2 linked regions of the Notamacropus eugenii genome follow. The protein of the gene in region 2 interacts with the protein of the main gene of each other region in a pairwise test. Links are inferred from orthologs where the notes say so. Each region holds a gene or a part of one and is shown on either strand. Other genes may lie near its edges. The genes, in order: ISG20L2 and EML1.

Evidence for each region.
Region 1: the proteins of EML1 (region 2) and ISG20L2 interact in binary tests that used the Homo sapiens proteins (3 or more experiments, as listed by UniProt). The two-hybrid records come from large-scale screens. The link is inferred for Notamacropus eugenii from reciprocal best matches to the Homo sapiens genes EML1 and ISG20L2.

Annotation. Positions count from the first base shown.
Region 1 is NC_092873.1:380,927,071-380,930,982, forward strand, and holds the start of ISG20L2 (interferon-stimulated 20 kDa exonuclease-like 2), read right to left. Parts: upstream 2,661-3,912; 5' UTR 2,536-2,660; intron 1,580-2,535; exon of another isoform or gene 1,458-1,579; 5' UTR 1,446-1,457; coding exon 777-1,445; intron 1-776. UniProt on the Homo sapiens protein: 3'-> 5'-exoribonuclease involved in ribosome biogenesis in the processing of the 12S pre-rRNA. Displays a strong specificity for a 3'-end containing a free hydroxyl group.
Region 2 is NC_092872.1:355,787,501-355,791,412, forward strand, and holds the start of EML1 (echinoderm microtubule-associated protein-like 1), read right to left. Parts: upstream 2,896-3,912; 5' UTR 2,783-2,895; coding exon 2,716-2,782; intron 1-2,715. UniProt on the Homo sapiens protein: Modulates the assembly and organization of the microtubule cytoskeleton, and probably plays a role in regulating the orientation of the mitotic spindle and the orientation of the plane of cell division.

The sequences.
Region 1 (3,912 bases), on a different chromosome or scaffold from region 2:
GTTTTGTGTTCCAGCTCTATTTTTGTCATGAATAACTGACTTTACTTTTTCTGAACCTCCATTTCCTCATCTGTAAAATAATGGTGCTAGACTAGATGCTTACTAAGTTTTCTATCCAGTTCTGACATTCCTGTATGACATCAAGCCAAGTGATGCCAGCCACTGAGCACTTGGAAAATGCATACATTCATCTTCCTCCAAAGGTACTCTTAGATCCCTCCTTTGTGTGATAGGGAAAAGCAATCCAAGGCCTGAGTGCAGTGATGGGACTAAGACAGGATCACTCAGGAGCATCTCATCACCCAATTCTGCATTCTGACTGAGTAGTCACAGGACTGCCAAAAGAGCATGTAGGAACATTTCATCACCTAAACTCTGCATTATTACTCCTTTCATCATTTGTCCCCTTTTCCAAACCTATTCTGCATTTTTCTCCTAGCCCAGGAGGCCTTCCCAAATTAACATCTTTCCTTCCCCCATAATATCTATACAACTTGATCCTATGCTCCGGTCTCTGTCCAAATCTTGGTGAGAAATGGGTGAGTAGGGTTACCCTGTCTTAGGAACCCATTTCCAGAACAAGGCTCTGTGCTCAGTATATAGTGCTAACCAAGATACTACCTCCTCTCTCACTCCCCACCACCTTTCACCAAAGCCCAGTCCCTTCCTATCTAGAAGTCTTCCAAATCTCTGTCAAGCCTTTTCCCTGATTGTTTCCTTTTAAGAGAAAGACCCCAAGCATCCTAACCCCCCACCCTTTTCCCCACTCCCATCACCTCTTTCCGGGCCGCCTTGAAAGGGGTGGCATTAACCATATGCTCCTTCTTGATACCGCTCCACTTGGTCCGGTAGTCCACAATTTTGCAGGGAGGACGAATGTATTCATCATATAGCACGTCACCACTGTAACTTACAATGCTACATCGGGCCAAAGAACTGGTATGGCCTTTAGGCCCTGTGCCCACCATCTCACAATCAAGAGCCACCATCTTCTTGTTGCAGCCCTTCTCTGGTGCAGGCGGGAGGGTTCGGGCAGGGGGGAGGGGGGAGAGGCCACTCTGGAATTCTGACAGGAGATCTACCTTAGATGATATAGATACTGAACTGGTCTTCCGTGAAGGAGCAGGTGTCAACCAAGACACTGTTGATACCTTCCTACTCAAGGGCTTTTCAATTCCATTTTTCTGATTCGGTGTCTCCTCTATAGGTTCAGGGAGGGGGTGGAGTTTCTGTTTACTATTTGTGCTAAGGGTCCCCCCATTATTTTGAAGTTTAGAATGCCCTGAGCCCGAAGGCCTGGCAGGGACCTGCATCTGTTTCTGCTTAAGGTTCCTCTGTATCCGCCGTTGTCGTTGGATGAAACGCTGGTGCCTGTGGTTCCCTTCAGTTGCCTTCTTTGGGGGAGGACAGTCCCCAAAGTCCAAGTTGAGAATCAGGGTAGACATTGTCAAGAAGGGCTGGAGAGAAGAATGACCAGGAGGGATCTCGCTTCAGAGAGTGGCTTCTAAAAACAGGGAAGTTTGGGGACTTATTCCTGGCCAAAGGCCAGAGACTCACATCTTGAGGTGTGTAGCATACCCTATGGAAAGAAGAGTGACCAAGCTGACCCCAGTCTGAGGGTCCAATAGATGGACTCTTTATAAGCTTCAGCATAACCTTAGATATCTGGAAAAATACCCAACCTGAAAGGTTTTAAGATAGGGACTAGAGAAATCACTTTAAAAGCCAGAGTGTTTGGAGGGAGTGAGAGTAGGGGAAAAGAACTTAGTCAAAAGAGAAAGGATGAATGAGATGTTGAGAGGCAGCATGATACAGATGAAAAGATTTAGAAAGAACATGTAGGTTTCAATCCTGTTCGTGGTAAGTCAGTTTCCTTGGGAAACTGAAGCACTCAGGCTGAATGGAAGTGATCTGCCTAACGTCCTGCAATTAGAAAGCGGTTACAACCCACACTGTTCAAGGTCCCGACACCTTCCGAAAAATGTGAGTTGTAATACTTGCTACCTTTATTATTACCACGGGCAATGTCAGTCAACCAAAGCGTCCATGGCCTATCCCCTTCAAGCTTAAACCCTAGAAAATGGATCTGCTCTCTCCCCTTGTCAGTCCCCTACCCGAATCCTCCAGGTTCTTCCTGCTCCCCCCTTTCAGCATCTAATGTACCCGGAAGCTTCGGGCCCGGTGTCCACCTCCCCTTCTCTGTGCCTCAGTTTCCCCATTTCTAGACTCGGAAGGTTGCACTAGATGCTCTCTAAGACGCCTGTGGCTTTCAATCCCGTGATTACGAACACTGTCCTGGCCAGCAGAGGCAGGCCTCTGTCTGACCCGGGATGCGGATGAATGAACAAGAGGGGAAATCGAGGCTGAGGCAGGAGAAGCTGCTGCAGGATGGCATCACTCCCCAGGGGACGGTGGGAATCCGGGGCTCGAGAGCCTTCCGGCCAGGGGGTACGGCCCCACCCCGATCTAGTCCCAACACGGCCCGAGAAACCCCCGGCCGGGCGCCGGGCGAACACCCCATCGCGTTACACTCACCTCCTCTGGCGGCCCCCGTAGAGGCCGGAAGCGACCGGAGGCGGAAGTGGAGATGAGACCGCGCCTGCGCGGCTGCGGGCGACAAACACGCGGGGGAACGCGTGGAGGTATGTAACGGGAACGCGCCTGGGGCCCCTCGGGCACCCCGGCGACCCCCACCCCGAGCAGTGAGGAGAGCGACTCCGACTGGGGAAAAGGGAGCGGAAGCGGAAAGGAGGGTGGGGATAGGGTCGGTGGGGGCGGGGGCGGCACGCGCTCCCCGGCCCCTCGGGCCCCGTGGAAGTCCAACTCGGAAGGTAAGGTCGGGGACTGAGGGGAGTGGGGCCGGGGGGCGCCGTGGGGTCGGGCCTCACTTCCGGGAGGAGGGCGGGCAGGGCGGAGCCTGGGCTGGTTAGGGTAGTCTTTTCCTTTGCCCTCATCCCTGCCGGGGCCCGAAGGCTCCGCCCCACACCGCCCAGCGCGTGACGTACCCGGCGTTACTGCTCTGTGACGTCTCTACGTTCCCACGCTATCTCCTCCCCCTTTTCTCAGCACGTGTCTGCGCTCTGTGACTTGAGTACGCCTCACTGTCTAGGTGGTCGCGGGCAGCCAGCGCCCCTCTTCTTCCCCATCTGCTTTCTAGGTTGTTTTTAGTCAGGCAGTCTGTGAACATTTCCTAAATGCCCACTATGTGCCAGTCACTGTGCCAAACGCAGGGAATGCAGAAAGGAACAAAAGATAGACCTTGTCCCCGAGGAACTTAGCTGTAAGGACAGACTACATGCAAACGTGTGTGTATGTGTGTGTGTATATATATATATATATATATATATATATATATATATATATATATATATATATACACATATATACACACACACAGCAGGCCATATACAGGATAAATAAATAATCAATGAACATGAAGCATCTACTGTGAGCCAGTCATTGTGCCAAGTGTTGGGAATACAAAAAGGGGCAAAAGACGGCCCCTTCCCTCTGGGAACTTAAAATTAAGTGCCTGCTCTGCCGATCACTGTGCTAAATTGGGGGAAGGGAGAGGGAGGATACAAGAAAGACAATTCTTGACGTCAAGGAACCTACAGTCTAATGGGGGAGACAACATGTAAACAAATGTACACAAAGCAAGCCATATCCAGGATAAATAGTGTTGACCTGAAAACTTTGTTAAGAAAAGGTAACAAACTAAATGCATACGTTCTATGATTTAATTAATTAATTGATCAATTTCCTATTAAAGACAACAGTAACATAATGCATTATGGAGCCAGAAATGTTCTGGCTACCCAGTGCAGAAATCTTCTGGCTTATATACATTTTGCTGTGAGAAAGGAACTCTCCTAATTGAACAAATCATAAATTCAGTAAGACAGGACAATT
Region 2 (3,912 bases):
GGTCACATTTGAACTCAGAAAGATGAGTCTTCCTGACTTTAGGCCTAGCACTTGAGTATCTACTTCACCATCAGGCTAATCAAGGGAACCTGTGTTCCAATACCAGATGACACTTCCTACCTATGTGATTCTGGACAAATGACAACCTCTCTGGGACTCAGTTTCATCTTCTGCAAAATGAAGAGGTTTTATCAAATGACCTCTGAAGTCCCTTCTAGCTCTTCTATCTCCATGATCCTAAGAATCAGAGTAAGTTAGATACTGTCAACTATTATTAACTTCCATCAAGAAGCTTAGATTTTTTAAGGTTGAAAACGCATAGAAATCTACTGCACTGGAATAAACACTGTTAGAACAAAATGAAAACCTATCTTCCATACATAGCAAATAGGAACTCCTTAAATCACATAGAAAGTAGCATGTTATTAATATGAAAAGGATGTACTAATAGCTTAGCACATTATGCAGCATATAGCCTTAGATGGAACTCTATGATCTCATTGGTATGGGGACTCTCTCACTACTAATCACAATTTTTGCACTTTTTTTATCTTGCGGAATTTCTGCAGATGTCTTTACATAAATACTCTATTAAAAGTCCACTTGATTTGCTGGAAATCTTTAATTTATTCTTTTACTACTTTGGAAGTAGTTCTAATGATACATCTTAAGTTTTACAAAAGTATTTTTCTCACACCTCACTGAAGCACTTGGTTTGCCCATTAGCTAACTATTTTTAAAAAAAGAAATCATAATGAATCTCCCTAGGATATGGAAGTCTGAACTTTAGATAAATATTATGTATATACTTATATGATTATATGTATACATATATTCATGAAGAAACAAAAAAATACTTGTTACTGTATCTAAAGATTAAATTATTATGATAGAGTTTATATACAGGTCAAAATTGAAAACAAATTACTTTATAACAAGAAAGTTCTCTCTCACTGAAACAAAAATAAAACAAATTAATCCAAGAAAGCTGGGATCTAGGCTTGTTTTCATTGCTCTACATATTCAAGTAAAATTTAGAGGATCATACTCACCAAAAACAAAAAAAAAACAAACACTTTGGAAAACATTTCTAAAGCAATAAATCAAATGTAGAAAATATGTATGAAACTTCTTTGTGTACAATTTTTCATACATCACGTTTCAGAGAAAATGCAGGATATTATGAACATATTTTTCATGCTTAAATTATGTTTCAAGAGTCTAGGATCACTTTTTAAAAACATACCCTGTCAATAAACTACAATTTTATTTTTCTTGCCCCTAAGAATCAAATAGAATCTAATGCACAAAAATCAGTTGAATACTTCTCTCGCATTAAAAAAAGTTTTTAATATAAACTCTAGACTTATTTAAGCGTTATTTCATGAAGAACAATGTAACTAAAGTAGGTTTGTTTGAAGTTTGGTTAGCAAGTTAATTCTTGTATTCATCTTTTGTTAATATTAAGTGATTTGTTTCTTTGCTCTTTTGCAACAGTAGTTGCCAAGAGAACCTACATAAAATACACAAAAAGCAACATATTTTGTTACAACAGTAACATTGTGTCTTGAACTTTCTCTTCTATTAATTTCCCCCCCTAATTTTCAAAGCACTATTTTAGCTTTCCCTTTGTGTCAATTACACTCTGAAAAGATTACTGCTAAGAAATCTGCCAGGACGTTGAGTTTCTATATTTTTTATTTTTATTTAAGTGTCAGTACCAAAAAGTCTTGGGATAAATATCGAAGAAATTTCAAAGAACAAAACTGGAAATCACTAGCAATTTATGCTTTTCTAAAAACGCACTAATGACACAACTGTGAGAGACTTCAGATAAGAATCTTCCCCCCTTATGAGACTGGATAAACTATACACGTGTCAAATGCACAAGATTTAGTGAGTGGGCAGTGGCTTTTACACGTCAGGGGGATAGAGTGGTTGGTTATTCAACAGGCCATGGAGGGACTTGGAGAGGATGTCATTCGCTCCATTTCATGCAGTTCGACACAACACCACAAATACACTCACCAGCGGTCACTTGTTGGGATGCTGGAAAGTCAAAGAGTTAACAGAAAATTCCGAATTTTTCCTGAAAACCCCAGAGCCAAATGCAACTTTTCCTTTTGGCAACAAACATTTCTTTTCCCACGGAAGTAAACTAAACTTTCCCTTGGACTTAACCGAGAAATGGGGAAGAAGTTTCTGCTTTTTCCCTGGGTGGGACAGGTTGGACTAAGAGAGCCACTCTGGACTGACTCCTCCGAGTCATCCAAGAAGCATGCCTCCCTTCCCCACTAACCTCCTTCAATGCCTCTTTTCCCTTTGCAGAGGAGCTAGTCTTGGAGCAGAAACAAGGGGAGGCAGCCGCCGCCACCACCACCACCACCACGGCCGCCGCCGCCGCCGCCGCCGCCGCAGCAGCAGCTTCCAAGCTCCTTTCTGCTTGCCTTCCCTCCCTCTTTTTTTTCTTCCAAGACCAGGTTTGCAGCCAGAATCCCCGAGAGATCTCTGTTCTCTCCCAGCTAGCGCCCCGCCGGGGGATACCGCAGCAGGAAGGGATGAATGGAGGGGGCGCGAGCTCTGCGAGGGATCTGGGGAAAGAGGCTCGCGAGGTGTGGAAGGGTGGGGAACGGGGGGAGCAGCAAAGAGAGACCCCCCCTCCCCGCGCGAGCTTGTATCCACAAACACAAACACACACGAGTCCCCTCTCCTTACCATTGCAGAACTGGAGCAGCGAGGAAGTGTCATAAAGGCTGCTGTAACTAGAAAATCCGTCCTCCATCCTGCAGCCGCGGCAGCTCCCGATTTACCCGGTCTCAGCGGCGGCTCCGAAGCCGAGCCTTGGCCGCCGCCGCCGCCGCTGCTGCTCTCGCCGCTTCTCACCCACACACTGAGCTCTAGGGCTGGGGCTGGGGCCGGCCCTGCTGTGGCGGCTGCTGCTGCCGGTTACCATGGCAACCTCCTTCACCCCGCCGGCGCCGCCGCCGCCGCGCGCTCTCCCAGGGCAGCTGCGGCCGCTCGCCCGCCCGCCCGCCTCGTGAACGAGGAAGGCGACCAAGGCCGGCCCGAGCTGGGGAAAGACAGACTCTGCCCGGGAGGGGGCGGACTTGGGGTGGCCGGGAGAGGGAGGGGGAAATAGGCGGCGAGAAGGAACGGGCATGTGTGGGGCGAGGAGCCGGCGCGGGAGAGGGGCGCTCTTTCTCCAGAGGGAAGGGGGGGCCCGAATGACCTCCTGGCCGCCCCCTCCTTGGGCGCGGCAGGTACCGACGGGGCCTAAGAACCAGCAGCGCCGAGGCGCGGGCCTCCCCTCCCCTCTCCCTGTATAACGGCCCCAGGCCGATCGCGCGCTGGGGAATCTCTCGCGTGAAGTAGCGGCCTCCGCCTGGCCGACCCGGGCGAGGGATGGAAATGGCGGCTGGGAGCAGGAATGAGCTTTTTTCCCCCCTTTTTGGGGGAATGTGTGTGTGTGTGTGCGCGTGTAGAGAGAACAAAGGAAAGGGGCTGAAGACACCCTCAGTAGTTGTAAGAGGATTGGAGGAGCTGCCTGAGAGAAGGCGGCCAGACCAAGGGCGGACGGGCAGGAACGAGCAGGCGCTGGGCCTGGGCGCCAAGGGCCCGAGCCTAGGGGCTCGCGCGGGGCCCCCGAGCGGAGGGAGGGGGCCCCCGGGACCGTCAGGGACGCACGTGCCCATCCGCGGGCGAGGCCCCCCGGCAGCAGGGGGCGGGGCCCAGGGGCCACCCGGGGCCGGCCCTCCCCTTCCCACAAAAATACTTTGTTTAAAAAACCCAAATCCCGGAGAGCATCAGTCCGGGCCCGGGGGCCATTCTTATCGTGTCCAGCACCAAACATGGACACACGTAGACGCCTCCTATGATGCTTTTTCCACGAGTTTAGCCCAACTTTAGTCTTGG